Linked DNA regions of Arabidopsis thaliana. The protein of the gene in region 1 interacts with the protein of each later gene in a pairwise test. Each region holds a gene or a part of one and is shown in the gene's direction. Other genes may lie near its edges.

The links.
Region 2: the proteins of AT5G42370 (region 1) and AT4G03340 interact in a protein complementation assay, tested with the Arabidopsis thaliana proteins (one large-scale study listed by BioGRID).
Region 3: the proteins of AT5G42370 (region 1) and NHL1 interact in a protein complementation assay, tested with the Arabidopsis thaliana proteins (one large-scale study listed by BioGRID).
Region 4: the proteins of AT5G42370 (region 1) and ABCI12 interact in a protein complementation assay, tested with the Arabidopsis thaliana proteins (one large-scale study listed by BioGRID).

Annotation. Positions count from the first base shown.
Region 1 is NC_003076.8:16,937,706-16,944,761, reverse strand, and holds AT5G42370 (Calcineurin-like metallo-phosphoesterase superfamily protein), read left to right. Parts: upstream 1-3,027; 5' UTR 3,028-3,298; coding exon 3,299-3,415; intron 3,416-3,591; coding exon 3,592-4,002; intron 4,003-4,096; coding exon 4,097-4,237; intron 4,238-4,348; coding exon 4,349-4,456; intron 4,457-4,542; coding exon 4,543-4,848; intron 4,849-5,008; coding exon of another isoform or gene 5,009-5,067; coding exon 5,068-5,263; intron 5,264-5,350; coding exon 5,351-5,433; 3' UTR 5,434-5,781; downstream 5,782-7,056. Other genes in the region: CML37 (calmodulin like 37), read left to right, coding at 1,447-2,004; AT5G42360 (Galactose oxidase/kelch repeat superfamily protein), read left to right, coding at 6,766-7,056.
Region 2 is NC_003075.7:1,466,791-1,473,254, reverse strand, and holds AT4G03340 (Core-2/I-branching beta-1,6-N-acetylglucosaminyltransferase family protein), read left to right. Parts: upstream 1-3,174; 5' UTR 3,175-3,789; coding exon 3,790-4,435; intron 4,436-4,517; coding exon 4,518-4,593; intron 4,594-4,670; coding exon 4,671-4,786; intron 4,787-4,881; coding exon 4,882-5,390; 3' UTR 5,391-5,528; downstream 5,529-6,464. Other genes in the region: SYP123 (syntaxin of plants 123), read right to left, coding at 5,650-6,079, 6,243-6,464.
Region 3 is NC_003074.8:3,677,170-3,682,635, reverse strand, and holds NHL1 (NDR1/HIN1-like 1), read left to right. Parts: upstream 1-2,692; 5' UTR 2,693-2,975; coding exon 2,976-3,605; 3' UTR 3,606-4,041; downstream 4,042-5,466. Other genes in the region: DGD1 (UDP-Glycosyltransferase superfamily protein), read left to right, coding at 1-135, 236-502, 604-953, 1,036-1,546. UniProt on the Arabidopsis thaliana protein: May play a role in plant immunity.
Region 4 is NC_003074.8:7,600,173-7,606,381, reverse strand, and holds ABCI12 (cobalt ion transmembrane transporter), read left to right. Parts: upstream 1-2,482; 5' UTR 2,483-2,661; coding exon 2,662-3,024; intron 3,025-3,134; coding exon 3,135-3,251; intron 3,252-3,333; coding exon 3,334-3,570; intron 3,571-3,655; coding exon 3,656-3,820; intron 3,821-3,920; coding exon 3,921-3,996; intron 3,997-4,064; coding exon 4,065-4,129; intron 4,130-4,220; coding exon 4,221-4,373; 3' UTR 4,374-4,560; downstream 4,561-6,209. Other genes in the region: AT3G21590 (Senescence/dehydration-associated protein-like protein), read left to right, coding at 593-797, 867-940, 1,211-1,332, 1,460-1,626, 1,743-1,831; AT3G21570 (proline-rich nuclear receptor coactivator), read left to right, coding at 5,675-6,085.

The DNA of each region.
Region 1 (7,056 bases):
CGTTGCGAAAATTATAATTTTTTAAAAAAATGATCGAAAAGTTAATAATTTTATGCATTCATATATTTGCTTATGTTAAGTGTTACATGACCCCTAAATTTTTAAAGGATTCATGCCTAATTATAAGAATATTGATTTCGATAGTTAGAAGAAAAGCTATTTGTATGATCTCTATTTTTTCTTGTACATATAGTAGACAAGAAAATTGTCTTTCATTCAAACTCGTATAGGTCTCGTTGTATCTCGAATATTAAGTTAATTAATGTTTAGATTCTGTTATTTTGGTTTAATCATTTGAATGTGATTAGCTTTCGTCAGATAATGTGTGTTTTGTGGTGATGTGCAATAGTGGTTACAAGATCGATTGTTTAGGATTTCAAGTGTTTGTCACTCTAAACTAGGCTTTCTATACTATTTTCACTTTGGCGATCATGAGTTTTTCATAGTAAGTTTATTTGTGAGATTTGATACCAACAATTTAAACTATTTGCTCAGAAAGTTTAATTAATGTGAATTAAGTAAGGTCACGATATGCCAGCACCGCATCATGGAAATTCATTTCATCAAGAATTGAAGATATAGATTAAAGTCTAACATTTTGTTGATATTAGGATCAAATTAAGTATTTATAAGGAGATTTTATGGGGGGAAACAGAGATGTTTTTGTTAAATAATCTTTGAGCTCGATAATTACGGGGAGAAGTTTCAAAGAATAACTGAATTGTTTGAACAATATATGCTGGGCCGAGTTAAACCGTCGAGCTTAGAAAGCCGAACTATACATCAGTAAAAGCTTTTACATGAAGTTGGCATTTGAGATGCAAAAAGATAAAAATAAAACTCTCTTTTGGTCCATATAGAAATATATTTTCTTATGGAAAGGGAATTCAGGACCGGGAATGTAACAGTTAGATGAAACTTCATCACATGAAATATTTTATTTTTAATTCAAGTTTCTAGGAACAGAGGAAGTCATACCACTTTCGTGGAGCATATCTGGACGGTTATATGAAACTTCATGACAGTTTAACAATTTAAAAGACCAAAACCACGTGTCCGCACATCGTATACTCAATCAAAGTCAAAGAGAAGGTTTGCTACTTTTCTTAATCTAGTCGTCGATATGACATCACATTTCACACAATACGTGAGAAAAACTTACCATCACATTATTACGAAAACACCCCTAGTCGTGGTCAACTTGACCTTTCCCCACAAACACTCATTGCGGAGGAAACTTCCCGGCCACCGCCGCGCAACCGCCTCTAGCTTTAAATAATAACACCAAAATATTCAAACCCGTGTTTTAACCGTCGAACAATCAAGAATCTCTCCACCATTACACGCATTCACATACTCATCTATATATAATCTACCACTTCTTGAAAAGAATTTGCATCAGAAATCCATTTCCCAAATCTTCTAGATTCATATTCAAATCAAGAAATGACTCTCGCTAAGAACCAAAAATCATCATTGTCACGACTATACAAGAAAGTTTCCTCGAAGAGATCAGAATCGTCAAGAAACCTTGAAGACGAATCAAGAACGAGCAGTAATAGTAGCGGAAGCAGCTCGTTAAACGTTAACGAGCTAAGAACCGTTTTTGACTATATGGATGCAAACTCAGACGGGAAAATCTCCGGTGAAGAGCTACAAAGCTGCGTTAGTCTCTTAGGCGGCGCGTTATCGTCACGTGAGGTGGAGGAAGTGGTGAAGACATCAGACGTTGACGGAGACGGGTTTATAGATTTTGAGGAGTTTTTGAAGCTTATGGAAGGGGAAGATGGTAGTGATGAAGAAAGGAGGAAGGAGTTGAAAGAAGCGTTTGGGATGTATGTTATGGAGGGGGAAGAGTTTATTACGGCGGCGAGTTTACGGAGGACGTTGAGTCGACTCGGCGAGTCGTGTACGGTTGATGCTTGTAAGGTTATGATTCGTGGGTTTGATCAGAATGACGATGGAGTTCTCAGCTTTGACGAGTTTGTTTTGATGATGCGTTGAGATGATATATATGGGATTGGGACATCTTCCTTCCCTCCTCAAAATTTTATTCATTCAATTATTATTTTTGTGAGAGATTCTTATTCCTTTGTATATTTGTGTCTCATCTAATCTATTTGTATTATTTAACACACTTCATAATAAACGTGTCTTGTTTTGATATTCTGAATTTGTCAAAACATACAAAATGTGTTTATATGTCTCCCCATAACTGAGAATACCCAATTAAGGGGACTAAAATCTAAAACTGCGAGTCGTAAAAGAGGCCAGTCATCACCACCATTTGCCGCTCGACCAATGTCACTAGGTGAGTGAGAAACAACCGATAACGCGCGTATATTCTCACATCACTCATTTTTTGGTAGAGGTCGGTAAAACATTTCATATCGTTTGACGTTTGTAAATCTACAGTTTTATTATGCTAGAACAATGATATTGATTCACATTATTGGATGTTTCTATAATTACAGTTACAAACAGATACATAATTATTGCACCAATTCACTTTTTCTATTCAATAAGAGATAATATTGTTTGTAAACCTTTTAACTAAAACGATCCGCTTCGAAACTTGTTTCTTAATGTCTAAAACAATATTACACTTCACAATTTTGCCATCCGTAGAAGTCTCTAGTGTAAAAAATTCTGAATTTGCATGGTTCCGGGGAAATTTTATACAATCTAGAAAATTGGAATAAAATTTTCATAAAATTATTTTTTTGGTCGGATAAAGTTTTCATAGAAGAACACATATTAAATGGATTTATCATCACATAGTAGTAGATAAACAATTTAAATTATGTAATACAAATCAAAATGAATTAATCTATTTGCCACATATAGTGAATTTGATTTCTATTCAAAGGGGAAAATACAAATTCATTTTTAATATGTAGTAGATATTTGTTTCTCAAGTAATTAATATTCATATTTAAAAAATCATTGCATATGTTAAACAAATCTACAAAAAAATTCAATGGTCATTCCATAATTATAAATAATACGGATATTTCACAAATTCACTTTTTGTTTGGAACCCAGAAAAAAGATTCATAAAACCAGGCAATAGAAATTTCATCTGAAGAAAAGAAAAAGTAAAGCTATTAAAAATCAAAGCCACGAGAAGAAAGTAGAAAAAGTTACAGTCTCTGTCTATCAAAATCCCAACGGTAACTGAAAATCGCCGGAACCGAATCTGCGGCGAGCCAAAACTTGTGGATCTTTTAATGAAAACTTGAAGATTCCTCTTTCCACGGTTGCTTCTAGGGTTTTCTCTTCGATTCACCACATCGTCATGAACCAAATCTCTTTCTGGTGCCTTTCTTTACTCCTTACGGTGGTGATTGCTGCAGAAGAGACTCCTATCACTCGTATAGCCTTCGGATCATGCGCTAATCAAAGTGCTCCACAGGTAAATCAATCGTACAACCCCTACTTGGCTCTGGATTCAGTGTTTTAAGACTGCTCTGTTTGGCTGGTGTTTAAGTGAGCTGATTATGGTTTTTGTTTAATTAGCCGATGTTCTCTTAGATGATATAAGCTTGTGTTGCATACTATGTTAAACATTGTATTTTTGTTACATTTTAGCCGATATGGGATGCGATAAACAAGTTTGATCCGCAACTGTTTATTTGGTTGGGTGATAACATCTACGGAGATATAAGAAGACCACTTACAGTCATTGGGAAAGAGAGAACTTTTGGGCCATGGAGGAATTCACCGAGGTTTGTACCTTCTTCAGAGGAAGAAATGAAACTAAGATACGCTAAAGCCAAAGCTAATCCTGGATATTCTCGTATTCAGAGAAAAGCTAAGGTTATTGGTACATGGGATGATCATGATTACGGATTGAATGACGCTGGAAAAGAGTTTGATCGTAAAGTCATTAACCAAAAACTTATGCTTGATTTCTTGAATGAGCCTCTTGATAGTCCTAGGAGAAAGCAAGCTGGTGTTTATGCTTCTTATACTTATGGTCCGCCTAATCGGAAAGTTAAGGTATTAACAGAAACTCTTGTCTTCTTTGGTAGTTTTGTTAAGTTTAGAATGAAGAGCTTATATGTGATTTAACACAGTTGTGTATCTCCTTCAGGTTATAGTTTTAGATACTAGATATCATAGAGACCCTTTAAGAAGTGACGGGAGCATATTGGGTGATACGCAGTGGGACTGGCTCGAAAATGAATTGAGCGGTCCCCGAAGCGAAATCACTATCATAGGATCCTCTGTTCAGGTATCTGCAAATTAGACTTTTGTGTCCTGTTCCAGTTTGGCCATGGACTTAAACTTGATGAAGCCTGAGTGTCTTATTCCATCTAGAACTGTTGTCTCTTAACTTGTCCAGGTGATATCAAATCTTTCTGCTACCACTGGACCTCTCTTTTATATGGAATCATGGGGTCGTTTTCCAAAGGAAAGGAAACGTCTTTTTAAACTGATAGCAGATACTAAGGTATGGGATTGTTGACAGTAATGTTTCCAACTGTCAGTTTTCTTCTTTCCTCGTCCCCATAATTCTTCGTTGCTTTGACATTACAGAGAGATGGAGTTATATTCATCAGTGGAGATGTACATTTTGGAGAAATCACGAGATATGATTGTTCTGTTGGGTACCCATTATATGATGTCACCTCCAGTGGTCTAGTACAATCTGTTGAGAAAGTTGTCCCTCGTCCCTTGCGTTCCATAGTTAGGCTTCTTTTTTGGTATACTCCAAGCACGATGAGAGTTATCAATGATAACTGCAAATTCAAATCTTGCACATACGGTATTATTCTCAATTTGATTCCTTTTACGTTTTCTTCTGATAAACTGTGGAAAGATTTATTGACAAGCCAAGACACAGTGAGTCTACTTTAAGTTCCAACTTTAGCTCTATAGCTCTACTGTCACTAACCTAGGACGGAATATAGTAGACTGTAACTGTTGTGAGTTGATTTAACAGAGCAGCGATGTACTCTTTTGTATGATTACATTGGTTACAATATCTTAAACTTACGTGCAGGACAACAAAATTTTGGAGCAATATCGATAGATTGGAATGCAAATCCGGTTACCATAAAGCTCGAGATCAGAGATGTTAACGGAGACACTGTACTAGGCACGAATGTTTCATTATCTGAACTCCAACCAGGAGGCTCGAATTCTTTAAAAGATACAACAACTAAGGGAAAGTCTCAACGATATTGCACACTCGAAATTGAATTACCAGGAACGACCAGATACCGATTGGCAGTTCTCATCTACTTCACCATTGCTGGTATGTCATTCTTCCTCACTGTGGTTGGTCATGATGAAAGAATGTTGCGGAGTACTGATATATACGTTGTTTGATTGGGTTCGACAGTCTTGGCAATGGCGATATTAGGACTTATCATTGGAGCTGTATTGGCCATAACAGCATGCGTTTATAAATGCAAGGTCGATTGATTGTTGATGACATTAATCAACTTTTTTTGGTCCAACAAAAGTGTCTTTATGACTTATAATCTGTATTAGTTGGATTATTCAGGGATTACAATTCGGATGTAGCTTATAATGTTAAAAATTGTTGAACACATGGATTTTGATCTTGTGATGGGAATTCTAAGCTTGAGCTGTTATTAATTAAACTTCTTTGAAAGAGAATGTTTGTGAACACAAGTTAAATTCTAGACTACATGCAATAGCATTATAGTTTCCAGTTTCTTTTTTCTTTTATTATTGTAAACCAAGGTTTATCGTTTATTACATATGAAGGTTTTCACTGTCTATTTGTAATAAATTAAACAAATTAAAGTTTTTATAATTTCAGTAATGATCTCAAAACGGATACTAGCTTTGATTGGTGAACAAAAACAAAGTATATTGGCTTTGATTGGTGAACAAAAACAAAGTATTACAATTTGTACCGCTTTTATTTCTGTTAATTACAAAAGCTTTTTTAAAGCGTTACAAAAAGTTTTACTCTCAGCTTTATTACTATATAGCTTTCTCGTACAACTATTTTTTTACAACTTTGCAGTATTCCGAAAAAGTTTTTATCACCGTTAACAGTTAAGATTTGAACAGCTGTATGTTACCGATAGGATCCACTATACTTCCCAAATCTGATGTTAATTAGTAATATGAGGTTAATTTTTTACTATTTTATTGAAAAAGCGATATTCTTGCAATTGACCCATAATTGAGTCAGCTTAATTTCCATTTATTTTTTTTTTGTTTTTTATTTATTTTTTTAGCTTCCGCTTTCTGCAGTATGATCTATTTAAAATAAAATAAAAAAGGGAAAAGTGGGAAATCGATGCGTCAATCTTAGGTCTCCGAGGTCTCAATTATTTCATCTTCTTCGGTGATTTCTGGGGAAGATGCTCTGGATTTGGGAAAGCAACTCTGTCGATGGATGAATCTCTTTTCGAAACTTCTGGGTGATATGCTCAATGTGAGTGAAATTGTTCTTCGAATTTGTTGAATTTCGTCCATTGTGTGAAATTGCAGACGCGTCTTGTAGTTTGATTGTGAAACTTAATTTTGTAGGCTTCTTTGAGTTACTTCGTTGGAATTTTGGAGTTAGGCTTTTTACATGTTTAATCTTTAATCGAGTGGTTGGTAGAATAAGCGGATCTCACTATAATGCTTTTTGATCATCGCAAGCCTCATGAGATTGTATACAACTTGAAGAAGCTTTGATTGATTTGCATTTGCAGGTTGATTATCTGTGGAAAATGATGGTCTTCTTAGCATGATCAAGGTGTCTGACTTGTGAAGTTTGTTAGATGACGGATGATGATTTCTGAGAAACCGTTGGGAGAAGAATCTATACGGCAGGATCTGGAGGTTTTAACCGTTTCGAGGAGGCTTGTGAAAAGTGTTAGCCAGAAGTTGAAGAAAAAAATTCATAAAACTGAGGTGGTGGAAGATGAAGAGGTTGCAAGGGGAGCGGTGAATTGTTTAAGCATCAGTGTTGGTTGCAGAGTTGCTGATACGGGTGAGGATTTTGAGGAGGATTTAAGTAATAAGAGATGGTCTAGTGCTAGTGAGGATGGTAAGGGATTGATGACCATTTGTGGAACT
Region 2 (6,464 bases), on another chromosome or scaffold:
TACCATTGAGATCATACCTACACATCTTACTCGTGGCTCTTTAACCTTGACTCTTAAGTCACAGTTTTGAGTAGCATAAAACTTGTATATTTTCCATACATAGAACAAAAGCTATATAATACAACTCTTCGTCTCTTGCTTTGTTCAAAGTTTGCTTTTGTTCCCTCTTAAAGTATAAACAAAAAGCGTAGAAAGTTTTGGAAAACAAAATCAAAAGAAGGAAAAAAATGGTGGTTCATATGAGATCGGACCAGCAGGCCATAGTGGTTCTGAGCGACGCTAAACTGTGATCCGTCCACTGCTGTAAGCGGGAAGTAGTCGCTGCTCTGTGAAACCAGCCTCACGCATTACCCTCCAACTTTAGAAGCCGTTTGAGCCAAGCCTTCGCTTGACACACACGTCTTACTCACAGCTTGGACTGGGCAGCCCAGAAACATGCCAACAACAGAACCGGCCCGTGGACCCGAACCAGTGTTCCACCATCTAAATGTCCCCACATGGGTTACAAGCTCATGTTACTTAGCTCGACGTAACAAAGATCGGTTCGTGTAATATATAAACAAACACAAAATGAGTACAGTGACCGATGTGGGAGAAAAGACTCTGAATTTAGTTTTGGTTTGTGACTTATCTTTTTGATGTTGGCCAAAGCCTTATTTTGAGTCCCATTGTAGACTAATAAAAAGCCCAGTAGTGAGATAGTATAGACAGATTTGAGATAGAAGAAGAGAGTGGCAAAGAAATCAAATGCAAGAAGAACATGAGTTTAAATTATTCCCAATAAGACTCACTTACTTGAGAACATCAGAGATTGAACATTTATTTACTTTCTGGTAACAACATTCATGTAAAATCCTTGCCAATTTACCAGCATCTACGTAGTGTCACAAAACCTCAACTATAATTTTACGTACTATCTAAAGGTTGTGCTTGGTTTTGACCTCAAACTTTGCTTTAAAGCTCATCTTTTTGCGATTCTTGAACGCGTTGCTTTGCTCATCCCAATAGTTAGGGAACTTCAACCTCGCAACAGCGTGTGGCATAAATCAGTCAGTCATCGTATTCGTAGGTAAAGCTGTTGAAGAATTAAAACGCTTCCGTATGATTAGTAAAAGGCACACTCACTGACTCACATCTTATATCTGAAAGCAATATTTTTTTCCCCCAAAACGATCACAAAGTCTGATGAATGAAACCCTATATTTCAATATTTTTTTGTAGCTACTGCTTTGATGTTCATTGTCCAATGGATTTTCTCCCATTTTCTGGTAAGATTTTGAACTCTTATGCGTTTTAATTTTGATTCCTTACTATCTCTGCAGCATTGGTCGTTTTTGAAGGACTTGTCCTCTTACGTTTTCTAAAAGGATAAAAGAGCATGTCTTCGTTCTCAGTTAGGTTCTTCAACTAGATTTAAGTCATCATATTTGATTCAATTTAGAACTAAACAAGGTTTTTCTGTGATAAAATTCCAAAGTTAACTTCTTTTATTTAGCAATTGGAGTTTGTAATTTTCGTTGAATTTGCCTCAGTTCTGCTACAAAACCTCTATTGGGTCCATTTTGTTTTCGGGTTTTGAAGACTCTTGAGTTTCTGAAATTCTGGTAATCTTGTAAACCTTGAAATGATTTTGGTCAATTTCTTCACTATGTCATGTGTTTATGTGTACAAATGAGCAAGACTTTAATGTTGGTTTGATCAGTAAATGAATTGCTGATGATGATTGTTTAGTATTCAAAAAGTCTAGAACAAGCAAGAGTTATCTTCATTATGATACTAAAGGTATTATTATTACTAGTCCGAAGAAAGGTTCTCTTTTTTTGAATGCCCATTTTGTGCAACTTCTTAAAGATTATTATAGATCAACTGTTTAGTTCAAAGAAGTCTAAAAAAAATCACAATGAAAATTGAAGATGAAGAAAGATTTTCACTTTCTCAACAGAGTAGTATAGCAAATCGTTTTTCATCAAATTCAATTCTTTTGAGTGAAAGATCAATATAGTAATCATAAAGATTCTGTTTTTACAATGCCCATTTCTCTATGACATCGAATGAGACTGAGAGAAATATCAAAGGTTTGACATTAGAACAGTAACACTCATCACTCAGAAACACAAGAAGAAAACGTAGCTGAAAGAACCGCGAGAGGGACAGAGCTAAAAGATGAAGATAGAGAGGAAGATCGATTATGTTCTAAGCTTCATAACTAGTACCATTTCTCCTTGTAAAGAAGCAGAAAACAAACAATGGAGCTGAGAGATGAGGGAGATTCAGGGTTTGGTCGAAAGAACAATGGAGTATAGGTTTGGTTGATTTAGGGATGCCACGTGTACTTCATCAGTTTCTCTCGTCTGTTGGTTTCACCTTTCCAGTCTTCTTTTTTAGTTATTATAATACAATTATCAAAAAAACTACTAGCTTCTTATGAGTCTGAGAATGTGGTTTAGCCTTATGAGTCAGGTTAACTGGAGGAAGTCAAGATACCTGCTGACCTGGGACCAATAAGCAGAACGAAGAAGTGCCAAGTCTAGCTCTAATGATGCACTACCCGGAGCTAATTGAGCAGATGTTGACTACAACACCAAGTTGGCCATGACCTGTTGTTGTAAATCAGAGCTATTTCAACCAGCAAACACCACTTAGGCTTCCCCATAAATATGTGGTTAAAGCTTAATCAACGACAATTGATGCAACTTCAGTCTCAGGGGGTTAATGCTGGACTATCTTCTGACCAATGTCCAAGAGTAGCAGAGCAGTTGAGATGATTTTCGACTTTGGTTTTTACTCTCACAAAACATAATTTTGATATATGTAAATGGATATGCTGATGACTGTTTATTCAAGATCTAGTTCAAGTTTGGAAGAACGAAAAGTTATATTCTAAACAGTTATTGATTAGCAAACTTTTCTTCACAGTTCATTATTTCTCTTGATCGTTGTCCACTTTCGTGTAATACACATTCGTCATGCGCGCGTGAGATATGGTCGATTCAACAACGGTCACGCGCCTTTTTGCGTGTCAGAGACTTTCAGCTTCAACGTTTTTCGTTAAAGAGACTATTCAACGTTAAGCTAATCCCATTATTAAAGAAAAAAAAACCATATGATAAAATAATTAATCAGATTGATTTTGCCAACAATTTAAGTTAAAACCCTGAATTTTAAAAACTAATCACTTTTTGGATTCTCAACGCTTCTGTTTCTCATTTCTTCTCTCTTCAGAGTCCACTCCGAATCTAATCCATTTATGTTTTGTTCTTCGAAGAAATTGACATCTTTCTCTCTTTGTGTCTCCCTCATTAACTTTGTTTTTGTCCAAGGACAACTCTGCCCTAATTTTACGCTCCTGCCGTAATTTCATTCAGCAGCATCTGTCTTAGTCCAAGGACTTGTCTTGTTATGTTTTTTTGAAAGACACAAAGACTTAAACTTTAAGCATCTGTTGATTGTTCGGTTCTTGAAACTCCGATTTAAGTCATTAGATCTGACTTAGCTTAAGACTAATCAAGCTTTTTTAGCTGACATGCCAAAAGCAATAAACAGTAGCAAAAAAAAACTGTTCCTTTTATTCGGTTGGTGCATTGGTTGTTGGTGTTCTTATCAACTTTCTTCTTCTATTAATTAGCTTTTGGTTTGGGTTTTTGTCATTTTTGTTCTAGTTGCCTCTATTCTGAAAACTCTGCAGCAACAATCTCTATCTGGTAATTTATCTTTATTTGTACAAAAGATTAAGATTTTGATTAGCTGGTTAGGTGTTCAAGAGAAAGTTTTGATCTTTTTTTGGGGGGGATGAAGAAAGTGTATAGGAAGCTGATTTGGATCAGAGACCCATTAGCGAGATTGAAGAGACATGTTAGTTCACATTCAGGGTTTAGGTTTTTCAGAGATAGAAAATGGATGTTCCCTTTTTTAGCAAGCTTGGTTTTGTCGGTTACTCTTTTGATGTCTGTCCTTTATGTCCAACTCGAGACTTCTTATGTGGAAGAGCCATTGCCTTTTGATAATCTCTCAGAAGAAACAAATGATTACTTTGTAGAATCACAATTGAGAATGTCTTTGAATTCGACGTTGGATTCGACTTCTTCAGAGGTTCCTAGGTTAGCTTATTTGATCTCGGGGACGAAAGGTGATAGTCTTAGGATGATGAGGACTTTGCAAGCTGTGTATCATCCAAGAAATCAGTATGTTCTGCATTTGGATCTTGAAGCTCCTCCTAAGGAAAGGCTTGAGCTTGCAATGTCTGTGAAGAGTGATCAAACTTTCCGTGAAGTTGAGAACGTTCGTGTTATGTCTCAGTCTAATTTGGTTACTTATAAAGGCCCTACAATGATTGCTTGCACGCTTCAGGCCGTGGCGATTTTGCTTAAAGAAAGCTTGGATTGGGATTGGTTCATCAATCTTAGTGCCTCGGATTATCCTCTTGTGACACAAGATGGTTAGTGATTTTGTTTTGAAGTTGCATGTTTTGGTCTTTGATACTTATTAGTGACGTTTTTTGGTTCTTCCTGATTCTGCAGATATGCTGTATGTGTTTGCGAATTTGTCTCGGAATGTCAATTTCATTGAACATATGAAGCTCACCGGGTGGAAACTGTAAGTAGTAACCGCTAAAGTAGCAACTCATTATCTTGAAATAGTGAATAAGATGTGCTTCTCATGGTCTTTTGCAGGAACCAAAGGGCCAAATCAATCATTGTTGATCCCGGTCTTTACCTATCGAAGAAAACCGAAATTGCTTGGACTACTCAACACCGTTCACTTCCCACATCTTTCACGCTGTTCACAGGTTAGCTAGCATCTTCATTTTGGTAGTTCATACACAGGTCTTATGGTTATGGATGAAAGAAAGATGGTTTATCTGCCTTGTCTTGAATCTTGCAGGCTCGGCGTGGGTAGTTCTGACTCGGTCTTTTCTTGAATACTCAATCTTGGGATGGGACAATTTTCCGAGGACGATCTTGATGTACTACACCAACTTTGTATCCTCTCCAGAAGGATACTTTCACACACTGATATGTAACACTGAAGAGTTCAAGAGCACCGCGATTGGGCATGACCTGCACTACATTGCTTGGGACTATCCTCCAAAGCAACACCCAAACTCTTTATCGATGAAGGATTTCGACAAGATGGTCAAAAGCAAAGCCCCATTTGCTCGAAAGTTCCACAAGAACGATCCTGTATTAGACAAGATCGATAGAGAGCTCTTAGGCCGCACTCATCGGTTTTCCTCAGGAGCTTGGTGCATTGGTAGCTCGGAAAATGGCGCTGATCCGTGCTCTGTCCGCGGGGATGACTCTGCTTTGAAACCAGGCCCTGGTGCTGAGAGATTAAAGGAGCTTCTTCAGACACTTTTATCTGATGAGTTCAGAATAAAACAATGTTCATGACAGGTAATGATCCAAGCTCAAAATGTAAATTCATTGTGTTTTAGTTGTACTCATAGGTCATAGCCTCATAGGTTTCCATATAAAGTTATACAAAACGATCCATGTCACCCAAAATTTTAGATATAAAGCAATTACAGTAGCAAGAATGGTTAGAGAGAGCTTCAAATTAAACTCTCGCTTCAGCTCTGGATTCAATACAAGAAATCGAAAGGGCTCTAACAAAAGGAGTTTGGAGAAAACAATAAGTTACATTTTGAAATCAAGGTCGAAGTAGAGTGTTAAAGAGGATTGGGAAAAGAATCACAATAACAACTACAATAGCGAGGATAGTGGCGATACAAGCCCATTTCCTGTTGTTCCTCTGAAGTACTTTAGCCCCATGCAATTGATCAGTCCCTCTCATGACGAAAGAGCTCGCCTTTGAGACATTTGATTCAATGTCATTGAGCATATTCCCTTGAGCTTCGACAAGAGCAGCCATGTCGAGGAACACTTGGTGCAGCTCTAACAGACTCCGTTCTATCTCCTTGACCGTGTCGTGTCGTTCTTGAATCTCTGATAATGTGTCCATGACCTGTCCGCGACCTTGCTCTTGTATTGCTTTTTGGAGAAAACGTTCGCTCTCTCCGCTCGATATGAGCTTCTCGACCGTCTCTTCGTCCGCTTTTTGCCCCGTTACAGTGAAGTACCTTCAATGATTCAACCAAATACTCAAAACCTTACCATCTCTTACTTCGAAAGATTAAACATTTTTTGAAATAAGATTTGATCTTTGTTCAATCATAGTAAAAGGATTTGGTCTTTGTTGGATCAGAGTAACACCTAAATGAAAGAAAAAGAAATAAAATTTACCTTCTCTCGACCGTTTCTTTGTATTCAGTAGCCATTTTGGTTCGTAGTCTCTGAAAATCATCCATCATGTCTTTAAGCTTCTTCCCCAATCCACTAACGACCGATGTTCTGGTCCGATCAGCAGACGAGCCAGGACCACAACCAGCGACTTTCCTCTGCGCAGCATTTGATTTCTCCAAAGCTACAAGCTTAGTCTTTATCATCTTGACACGTTTCAAGACC
Region 3 (5,466 bases), on another chromosome or scaffold:
TCTGATCAAGAACTAGTGTATCCAAACAATCTCACCTTCAGCTCACCTGAAGAACAAGAGAGTTATATACGTAAATGGTTGGAGGAAAGGATTGGTTTCAAGGCTGATTTTAAAATCTCCTTTTACCCAGGAAAGGTATGTTGATCATTTTGGATTCTATTTTTTTATTTCTATGGCTGCCAATATGTTTTTCAATTATTTCTATAGAGTAACTGAGCTTTCTGGTTTCTTATAGTTTTCAAAAGAAAGGCGCAGCATATTTCCTGCTGGTGACACTTCTCAATTTATATCGTCAAAAGATGCTGACATTGCTATACTTGAAGAACCTGAACATCTCAACTGGTATTATCACGGCAAGCGTTGGACTGATAAATTCAACCATGTTGTTGGAATTGTCCACACAAACTACTTAGAGTACATCAAGAGGGAGAAGAATGGAGCTCTTCAAGCATTTTTTGTGAACCATGTAAACAATTGGGTCACACGAGCGTATTGTGACAAGGTGAATCATCTACTCTATTTCTTCAAGCCTTGTTCTGTTGCTTGAATCCTCTTTACTAATAAATAGTACACGAGCTAATACATATTTTCTACTCATGAAAGGTTCTTCGCCTCTCTGCGGCAACACAAGATTTACCAAAGTCTGTTGTATGCAATGTCCATGGTGTCAATCCCAAGTTCCTTATGATTGGGGAGAAAATTGCTGAAGAGAGATCCCGTGGTGAACAAGCTTTCTCAAAAGGTGCATACTTCTTAGGAAAAATGGTGTGGGCTAAAGGATACAGAGAACTAATAGATCTGATGGCTAAACACAAAAGCGAACTTGGGAGCTTCAATCTAGATGTATATGGGAACGGTGAAGATGCAGTCGAGGTCCAACGTGCAGCAAAGAAACATGACTTGAATCTCAATTTCCTCAAAGGAAGGGACCACGCTGACGATGCTCTTCACAAGTAAGTTCTGAAAAATGTGCTTTGCTTTTAAAAACTTGTTAAGGTTTCGCTCTTTGATTGTCTTTCCCACATCTTGATGAAGGTACAAAGTGTTCATAAACCCCAGCATCAGCGATGTTCTATGCACAGCAACCGCAGAAGCACTAGCCATGGGGAAGTTTGTGGTGTGTGCAGATCACCCTTCAAACGAATTCTTTAGATCATTCCCGAACTGCTTAACTTACAAAACATCCGAAGACTTTGTGTCCAAAGTGCAAGAAGCAATGACGAAAGAGCCACTACCTCTCACTCCTGAACAAATGTACAATCTCTCTTGGGAAGCAGCAACACAGAGGTTCATGGAGTATTCAGATCTCGATAAGATCTTAAACAATGGAGAGGGAGGAAGGAAGATGCGAAAATCAAGATCGGTTCCGAGCTTTAACGAGGTGGTCGATGGAGGATTGGCATTCTCACACTATGTTCTAACAGGGAACGATTTCTTGAGACTATGCACTGGAGCAACACCAAGAACAAAAGACTATGATAATCAACATTGCAAGGATCTGAATCTCGTACCACCTCACGTTCACAAGCCAATCTTCGGCTGGTAGATATTTCCCCATAGGCCACCCAGTTATTGCTTGTGACTTATTAAACCACTACGTTATTGTTATCCTTTTTTACTTTTACAGTTGTTGTAGGTCGTTTGTTTGTTAATAGAAAGGGTAGATTATTATTAGATGTCTTTTTGTAAAATATCAATACGAAGCGTATTTGATGATATATAAAATAACTATATTGGCAAAAATATGAACTATGAAGGCCGTTTTCGTGATTTTGTTCTTTTGTTTCACGAATTCAAGCTATTCCCCTTTTTTTACGCCAAAGATGAAAAGAACCCTCCCTATTAATATCGCTATTGTCTAAAATTTCGAAAACTACTTTAATCACGACTAGACCAAATATATGTCGACCGATACCGATAGAGAAATTAGTGCCCCGTCTAATACTTTCTCTCCAAAATTACAGAATATTTAGAGTAGTTAATCAACGTAACACGACAAGGAAAATGATGGAAAAAGTGGTGGTTTCTGCTTTGGCAACTAGTGTTAGGTCACTTACGTCCTCTTTTTCTGTATTGGAAATTACGTGGATAAATTGAACTTTCTTTCAATCTCTATCAAATTATTAATCCACACATGTATACGCAATATATGATCATTAAATAAATAAAAAGTTAGATTGGTCTATAAATTCGTATCACAAATGGACTAATAATTTGTAGTGAAAACTCATTTACCCATGTGACAGCTCCAAATTTCTGAACTTTTTATTTTGAGGGATGGTACAAATCCGAGTTCCATGATCATGGAAAAATCAAATTTAACAAACACAAATTACTGTTTGAAACAAGCAAGTTACTATATATGTAGTTTGATTTCACACTAGAGAATCTACTGATAATGAATTTTTTATATATCGTGAAGCTGAAAGTGAAATTATAACTAGCTAGTTGAATTGCTTATTATGGTTGGAGGGGAGCCGATGAAAAATTCTTCGACCACACATAAAGTCACCTTTCTAAAGAACACTTGCACCGACCACATCAATCACGCATTCATAAATTTTCAACATTTATATAAATGTAGGAAAAAAACAAAATGAATTATAGAGAATACAAAATGACAGTTAACAATAAATATATCACAACATAAATTTTATGTAAGAAGGTTAGCATGATTTTTAAAAATATATTGTTGTGATTAAATGGAAAATAAAAATGTAGAATACTTGTTTCTTTAAAAGGGTCTTTGTTTTGATTACAATTTTTTTTTTTAAAGAATACCTTTAATATTAGGGAGAATTATTATAGTTTATAATATGAGAATACCTTTATTTCCCTATCACACTCCTATAAATCCTACATATAATTAGCCCATTATTTAGAGCCATCACTAAAACAAAAAATCTCTTAACAACTTCTCCACCTTCTCCCCACCACCACCACTCACCGTCGGAGAAAGAAAAAAAACAACCACCATGAAAGACTGTGAAAACCACGGCCACTCTCGCCGGAAACTAATAAGGCGAATATTTTGGTCAATAATCTTCGTCCTCTTCATCATCTTCCTAACAATCCTCCTCATTTGGGCAATTCTCCAACCATCAAAGCCACGCTTCATCCTCCAAGACGCCACCGTCTACGCCTTCAACGTCTCCGGCAATCCACCGAACCTCCTCACCTCCAACTTCCAAATCACTCTCTCTTCCCGGAACCCTAACAACAAAATCGGCATTTACTACGACCGGCTTGACGTCTACGCTACTTACCGGAGCCAACAAATCACTTTCCCAACATCAATCCCTCCCACGTATCAGGGACACAAAGATGTCGACATCTGGTCGCCGTTTGTTTACGGAACCTCCGTTCCCATCGCTCCTTTTAACGGCGTTAGTCTTGACACCGATAAAGATAACGGTGTCGTTTTGTTGATCATTCGTGCTGATGGTAGAGTGAGGTGGAAGGTTGGGACTTTTATCACCGGGAAGTATCATCTTCATGTGAAGTGTCCAGCATATATAAACTTCGGTAACAAAGCTAACGGAGTTATCGTCGGAGACAACGCCGTTAAGTATACGTTTACCACTAGTTGTAGTGTTAGTGTGTGAAACGGCGACGAAGAAAAATAAGGTAACTAAACGTCTTCGTTAAGTAATCTGTCTTAGTGATGTGAATTGTACATTTTGCTTATACGAATAGCAAATATTACAGATTCGTGATGTTGTAACGAATTTTAAGAATTTCAATATGTATACTTTTTTTTTATTATAGTTGAATTCTAAATTCTATTATAAGTTGTGATGATTTTTTCGAAGTATTTTTTTTGCTGATTTTGATGCATCTTCTGATCCTGTCAAATCGACTTTTGATGACTTTTTCTTATGTATATGGTAAAGTTTGATGGCGATGGAGATTAATTTTTAGTTGAATAGATTAGGCTCGTTAATGTTTTGTGGACGTTGTGTGATGGTGTCATTGTCCATTTGTCTCCATCTTTTTATTAAATTAAATAGAGAGATGCATTTTATATAGAGACTATTCTACAACAAATAAGACATTTCAAAAAGATAAATTTTGTGGATTGGATTATTTTTAGTCACATCTATGGATTTATAGATAAGTTCTATTTGTTGGTGTCTGGCTTAAAAAAATGTTTTTCGTGCACTTTAAAAGCCCATTCTCCTAGAGTTTTGCTACATTGAAATAAAGTTAATACATAACGTTACTTACAAGAATTTAGAATCCGTGGATATTATCGTGGATATTATCGTGGATATTCTTGGATTACCGTGAATATTCTTGGATCTTGAATTGTGAAAATCAGAATCCGGTCTAGAGACTTATTTCTCGTTTATCTGCATTTCCATTCATTTAACTTATAATGTGGTCCATGAAATTGACCAAAGAAATTAAAGGGGAATATGGTCCTTTAAAACTTATTATCTAAGTTGGGAATGAAAATAATATAAGAAACGTTAGACGAAAAAAGTCAGTCACCAATAAGACTTTGGATATCAGTCACATGATATATAGTAGTATATAAGCAACGTTCCATACTTCTATCTCAAATAAAGTTGAGAAACCTAACTTTGGATTTCCTTTGATTTTCAATAAAAATAAAGTGGTTATGAACGTGCTGTGTGTGCTGTTCACACAAAGGCACTAGAACGTCCGAGTAATGCTCAGCCAAACTCACATAATTTTCTGAAAAATGGCCTTTGCTACCTAACTTAAAAATAATTTACAACAACGGAAACTTTAGATAGTTGATCATTGATCAATAGTGCGTGCATCAGTGCATGCATATTTGGAATGAATCAATATTGATTACATATGCAGTGGATCTATCTCAAAATAATACTGATCAACTATTTGTAATATAATTCTTCATTCAAACAAATTAAGTGTTTTAAAAATGTTAATAATTATGATCTCTATCTTAGACATTTTGAGTTTATGTGTTCATGACTATATTTAGTGTAGTTCCATGAAACTAGGGTTTTAGTAGCGTCTTTATGTTCGTCTACTAACGGGCTACACTATTTTATGTTGGGCCGAATTTGGGATAAGCCTTCTACAATTTGGGATATCACTCATCACATTTTACATATTCCTACTTTCTTCCTTAGCATTGAGAAACAAACTTGAAAATAACGCCTACTTAAACCTAGTTTTATGGAGCTGCACACTAAATAAATTGTTTCTTTTTAGTAACAATAGTGGCTAGACGTTTAATTATTAAACCTTTACATTTGAAATGCTTCTCGATTGCTGAAAAAGCTCTGACCACATTCAAAACGTAACGGCACTTCTTTTTCAAAAAATTAAACCGTTGGTTAAGTATAACCGATCTTGGTTATCTATCAATAACAACAACAAAATAGCAAATAATGGTCACAATTAATTTTCCTTGACCAAATCCTTCATTCATTAACCAAATCAGACCAACAAAATCAAATATTCGCGTCG
Region 4 (6,209 bases), on another chromosome or scaffold:
AACTGGTCAAATTAAAACAATTAGTTTTTATTTGACGCCCTCTTCCTAATTACATTTCAATCTGTTAATGTCGATGGAAATAATATGAACGATTTGATTGCGTAGAACTAATTCTATTTGTCAACTATTGAAACAAAACATATAAAACTCAATTTTGGGGGAATATAATTCATCAGAGAAGAATAACACACTTGGGATTATGTATAACATACCTTAGGAGAATGATATCACAAAACACCAATGTAAACTCTACAAAAACCAGTTAAACAAGCAACTTGATGAAGTCTTGGAAAACATAACACGTATGGTCAAATTTAGAAGTTGTTTCTATAGATGAAATCATATATTAAGAAAAGGTATTCTCTCATCTTCTGTTGAAACAACTTGCTAGTTATACAACTAGAAAATTTTACTTATTCTTCACTACCAAGCTATATGATCATATTTTATGGTCTTACATTTTTGTTGGTTATTAATATGATCAAATGGTAAGTGTTTACGTCATTACCTTCGATCATCCAACATTATATAGGAACGAGCCTCACATATAAACCAAACTTAAAAGTACTACTGTACTAAGAAAGAAGACACAATGTCCACATCAACCCAAGAAAACCAATCTGCCCAAGCGGTGAACGAAGAAGTTTTGTTGGAGAATCCCGATTACGGAGTCCAAATCGTCGATAAATCCGAACTGTTGGAGCTAGCCTTGAGTTTCTTAGGGGAAGACGGAGAAATCATGGAAAACCCTGAGTTTCTTGGAGATATCATGGGGGAGAAATCTTCAAGTACTTCAGGTAAGAACAACAATGAAATTGATTGGAAAAAGTTTGCACCGAAGGCTGAAGACTACAAAAATGGTGTAGCCAAGGCCATCGCGGTAGGAACAGGGCATATCATCAAGGGAATCTTCACTTGTAGCAATTCTTACTCTAAGAAGGTCTCATACATATAAGTCCCTCTCATGATGCTTATGAGTGTTAATAGATGATTGTGATTTGAATCGAAATATTTGTTGTAGTAAAGAATCATGAACTTCCAATTCAAACCCAACTTGTGGAACGACTTATGTGTTTTATTTACTAGTATAGATCATCTTATTTTTGTGTTGGATTTTTAAAAACTTTTATATGAACATGGAGATGTAAGACGCACATATTGTAGTATTTTTTATTATTAATATCGTTTTATTTTCTTACAACAAAAACAGATTCACGAGGAAGGAACGATTGCTGAAGAGGATGAGGAAAGAAGTGGTGACATATCACAAATTGATGGAGGTGGCAACAATGAAACTAATAAGAAGAATAAACTCAACAAAAATCTTCAAAGGTATTCATATTTTAATCTCTATCCCACAAAATAGTATATATTATACCAAACAATAAAATCTTGGTTCTTGTTCCTTCTTATAATGAACCAAATCTTGGTTATTTTGTTGGATGTAACATATACATAGAGCGGAGAAGCTGTGGAAGGTGAGCGAGGCTATAGGAATGGCGGCCTTAGAAGGTGGAGATTTGGTGAGCAGTTCGATGATAGCTCCGGTGGTTAAGTCGAAGTTAGGGAAGGCATTGTTATCCACTGCTCCAGGAGAGGTTATCTTGGCATCACTTGATTCTTTTCGTAAGTTACATAGAATAGCTCCATTAATTGTCAATCTATACTCATATTCATTTATTTTGAAGTTTTTGAGATCAAAATTTAAATAAAACAGATAAACACTTTGATGTGGTCAATAGATAATATAATTGGTGCTGCTGAAGCGGCAGAAATACAAACTCATTATGCCACATCCATGGCTGCTACTAGACTTGTGAGTAAGAGGTAAAAAGCTCACTTTGTGATCCTCAATTTTGAGAATGAATTATGTTTCTATAGTAACACACCGGTATTTGAATCAAAAGAATGATTATATCGGTAGAAAATAAAATCGAAGTTGGTAGAATTATTGTATAGCGTGCATACAATCTAATAATTAATTACCAAATAGTTTTGAGGGGTAGCTAATGATTTTTAGAGATAGGTTATCATTTTTATTTGTTAGGATTGTTTAGATGAGTTATATAACATGTTTACATGACCATCGAATTTTACAATTTTATACATTTATTGAGTTGAGTGTAACACATATTCACATTTTTGTGATGACCGCACCAAAGTTTTGGAGAGAAAGCCGGAAAAACCACCGGAATAATACTGGAAACAACGGGCAGCTTAGGCCGAACCGCCTGGAATATTCAAAAAGCTCTCGAGCCAACTTTTTCCATCACCTCAAAAATTGTCAAAAATGCTCCTAGGCAGTAATATGTTATCTATCTTAAAAGCTAAGTTACATTTTCATATGCTGTATTGTATCAAATTACTTAATCTTGGTTTTGGTGTGGCTATGACTCTACGAGAAAAGATTTATACAAAAAGAGTGTGAGAAAATCCAAAACGAGTCTATATATACATCAAATTCGAACAAGAACCGAAATCCAAATTTTGGTATACTTTGACTTTTGTTATTATGAGAAGTTGAGAACCACAGTCAACGTCCGACAAAACCAACAAGTACAACAGTTTAACACTTGACAGTTTACAGTATCTCTCTCTCTACCAAGTACAGAATTTCCCGCTCTAGGGCATATGTCTGATCCAATCCGAAATTGAAAACTCATGAATCACTCCAATCTTGCCAATCCAACAGTCTCCCTCACCGTAACCCTAATCCCCAAACACCCAATTCGTCATCTCACATCTCCAATTCCTAACCGGAACTTTACAAACCCTAAGCTTCTCTTCCCGCTCCGGCTTAATGAGACTCCTTCCTCCTCTCTCGCCGCGAAAAGGGTTTTCATTGTCAGAGCCACCGTCGACGGAGACGGTAAAACCGGTAATTGGGTGAACCGGTTACCAATTCCAGGACTTGGAGCCGAAAACGTCTTCAGATTGATTTCAAGCGCCACCGGAAGTCCCATCGGACAATTCATATCGTCTCCTGTGACATTTCTCCACTCGGTGGATCCCAGAATCAAATTGGTATATTGAATTCTTGATTCTTATCAAATTTCTAATCCAATTTTGTTAAAAAGTTTGAGTCTTTTTTTTTTTGTTAAAGCTTGAATTTTGGTATTTGTATATATGTGTAGGTATGGCTATTAACTCTAGTAGTTCTTCCAGCAAGAGCAAATCTAGTTGTGCGTTTAGGACTTGTTCTATGCACAGCTCTTTTGTCAATCCTTGTTCTCCCAAGACAAGTTTGGATAGTGAGTTCTGTTTCTCTGTCACAACTCTGTTTCTATATGTGATCTATCTGCTCTGCTGAGTTTCCTAACTTTTTCTGTAAAGGATCAATTGGCGAGAGTGTCGCTTCTTTCGGGTATTCTCTTCATAACATTGGGGCTAGGTTCAGATGGTGCACCTCCAATGCTTCAATCAAGAACACCACCATCTTCAATCACAAGCTTGCCTAATCTTCCCATGTCTTTAAGCGGTTATTCGTACATGTTACTGAAGCTTGGTCCTTTGCAATTCACAAGGAAAGGTTTGTCTGTTGGAAGCACAGCCGCATGCTTAACCTTTATTGTAAGTCGGTTTTTCGACTTCCGCGGTTTACCTATTTCCTTTCTTGATTAGATCACTTAATGGAACATTTGGTTTTTGGTCACAGATCTTCCAAAGTGCTAGTATTTGCCTTGCAACAACAACACCAGAGCAACTTGCACTAGCTCTACGTTGGTTCTTGTTCCCATTGACATATATTGGTGTTCCAGTCAGTGAAATTATCCTCACGCTACTGCTTTCACTGAGATTCATTAATTTGGTTTTCGATGAGGTAACGACTGTTCACTTATTCGCTTTAATATTATCAATCAGCCTAGTTATTCCAAGTCCTAAACCACATAATGGTACGTTGTGCATATGTTACATTGTAGGTCCGAAGTGTTTCACTGGGAATTGTATCGCGAAGAGTAAACTGGCAGCAGCTTACTGTTCTGGAGACACTTGATAGTAAGAATCTAAAAGTTTCTTCTCTCTTTCTATATACATCTCATCTTACAAGTGATCGCTTTTTGTAGTTTTCGCGTCATTCATACGCCGCATCTTCAAGAATATATTTCGTCATGCCGAACAAATATCACAGGTCAAATAGATTTCACTTATTATCATCTCATTGATTTGAGAATCAAATAAGAATTCTCTGTTGAAGAAGTTTGTAATTTATGTGCATGCAGGCCATGATTGTTAGAGGCTTCAGAGGAGAGAGCAGTAGCCACAAGATCTACTTCTTCTCTGGCTCTTCGAATAAGTTTGCAGATTTTGCATCAGTTTTGTGTTTAATCGGTGTAATCTCAACCGCACTCTTGTCTGAATACTTTCTTGTCTAATATTGATTCATACTAATCTTTATTCGAGCTAAACTTGGAACATAATTCAGAAGAAAAGATGATCTTGAGGTAGAATCTCTATCATGATCATCCAAATGTTGTATGTGATAAATTTCTTCCCCAATGTGTAAGATTTCGTTGGGGGTCCGGTTAGGGTAACACAATACAACTTTGTTATGCTCGCCGACCAAGAAACTCATCCCATCAGCAAACATATTCCAACTCGGATTAATGGTTTGCACTGTTGAGAACTTGCTCCATGAGATGACTGAATCCATACTAGTTGTCACCCATACATTTAAGTCTTGTGAATGTGTTTCATCATTATAATAACCTAACACTAACAGACAAAGTTTTCTATTTTTGCACGAAGAAATTATACCTAATGAAACAAATACCCTTTAGAAAAAGTGTAAGAAATTGCCACATTTCTTCTTTCAAATTACGTCAAAAATACAATCTATACTTAAAGAGTTAAGAAAGATGATCCCAAGCCAACCAAGGGCGTGATCTCTTCAATCTCACTCGATAAAGTCTGGTACACCCTTGTGTGATTTGATATGGTTTTCGTGTCCAGAAGAGACAAAGGCAGACGAAAACAGTGTCTCACATCTTTTTCTAGAAAATAACGGGTCAATGTCTTCCCAAGCCACTCGTGCTTGCTTCTATAAACAACATCAATCTTGAATTCTACCAAAAACACTCAAACTATATTTCGGCAATATAGTTTCTTGCATTGGAAGCAATCACTTGTTTCCATCATCACAGCTTGAAAAAGATTTGTCATTGGAATTAGTTCATATTTACAGTTCTCATTTAAAACATGTCAATATATGTAGTCCAATGCTTGTTTGATTAATCCCATAGAGCAACATTACATTAATTCAGCAAAAATTAGATTTGTGGAAAATCAAATTTAAAAATGGAAAAACGGACAGGGAAACAAACTAAATTAAACAAAAAGAAAAATAGAATTATGTGTTTAGGTTACAGATGCATCGTTACGAGGAAACGAAGCTCTGACAGAGAAGCCATTTTCTCCATTTTTGTCATCTCTTCTAATTTCTTCTATTTATTCCAGTATTCCATTAACCAGCAAAAAAACTCATAAATTAGATTATTTGTAGATTTTAACCAATTTACAAAAATTTCGAGCAGGAATCGAAGAAAAGGACTATTTGACCCTTTTCTTCTTCCTCCTCCCTCATTTCTACCACCACGATTTCTTCTTTATTTATTAGCCGCCGAAGGGAATTCCTCCGGCGCCATTTTTTATAATTTTTTTGTTTTTATCTTTAGAGATGGGAACCGAAATTATCAGGCCTCAAAATTGTTTGGTTGACCGGATGAGAGATTCTCCGGCGACTTTTTTTAACTCCCGGAGGAATCATTTTCACCGGAAACCGCCTCTCAAACCTGATCAAAGGAGAAGATTCGGTTCCGATGAGTTCAGAACGACGACAAAGAACATTGTTAGGAGAAAAGGAGAGTCTTTTGACTCATTCTCAAACATCAAAGTTCGTAAATATTCACCGGAGGTTTCTGCCGATGATATTTATGCCGGATCTTCGATATTCGCTGTTTCCCCAGCGCCAAGCTCGTTACCTTTGCCGTCTTTCTCGAAGAAGAAAGCGAAAAGCCAGGTTGTTGTCGTTTCCATTGATGACTCGGCCTCTCAAGATCTCCGGAGACTTCTCCGGCTAAAGTTTTGAGACTATCAATTAAACGAAAAAGTTATCGAAATCGTCAGTTATTTAACGGTTAATATATAAAATCTAGGAATCGTCTCCGTTACTGTTTTTTAATCTTATCTTTCCTTTAAATATCTTGTTTAGA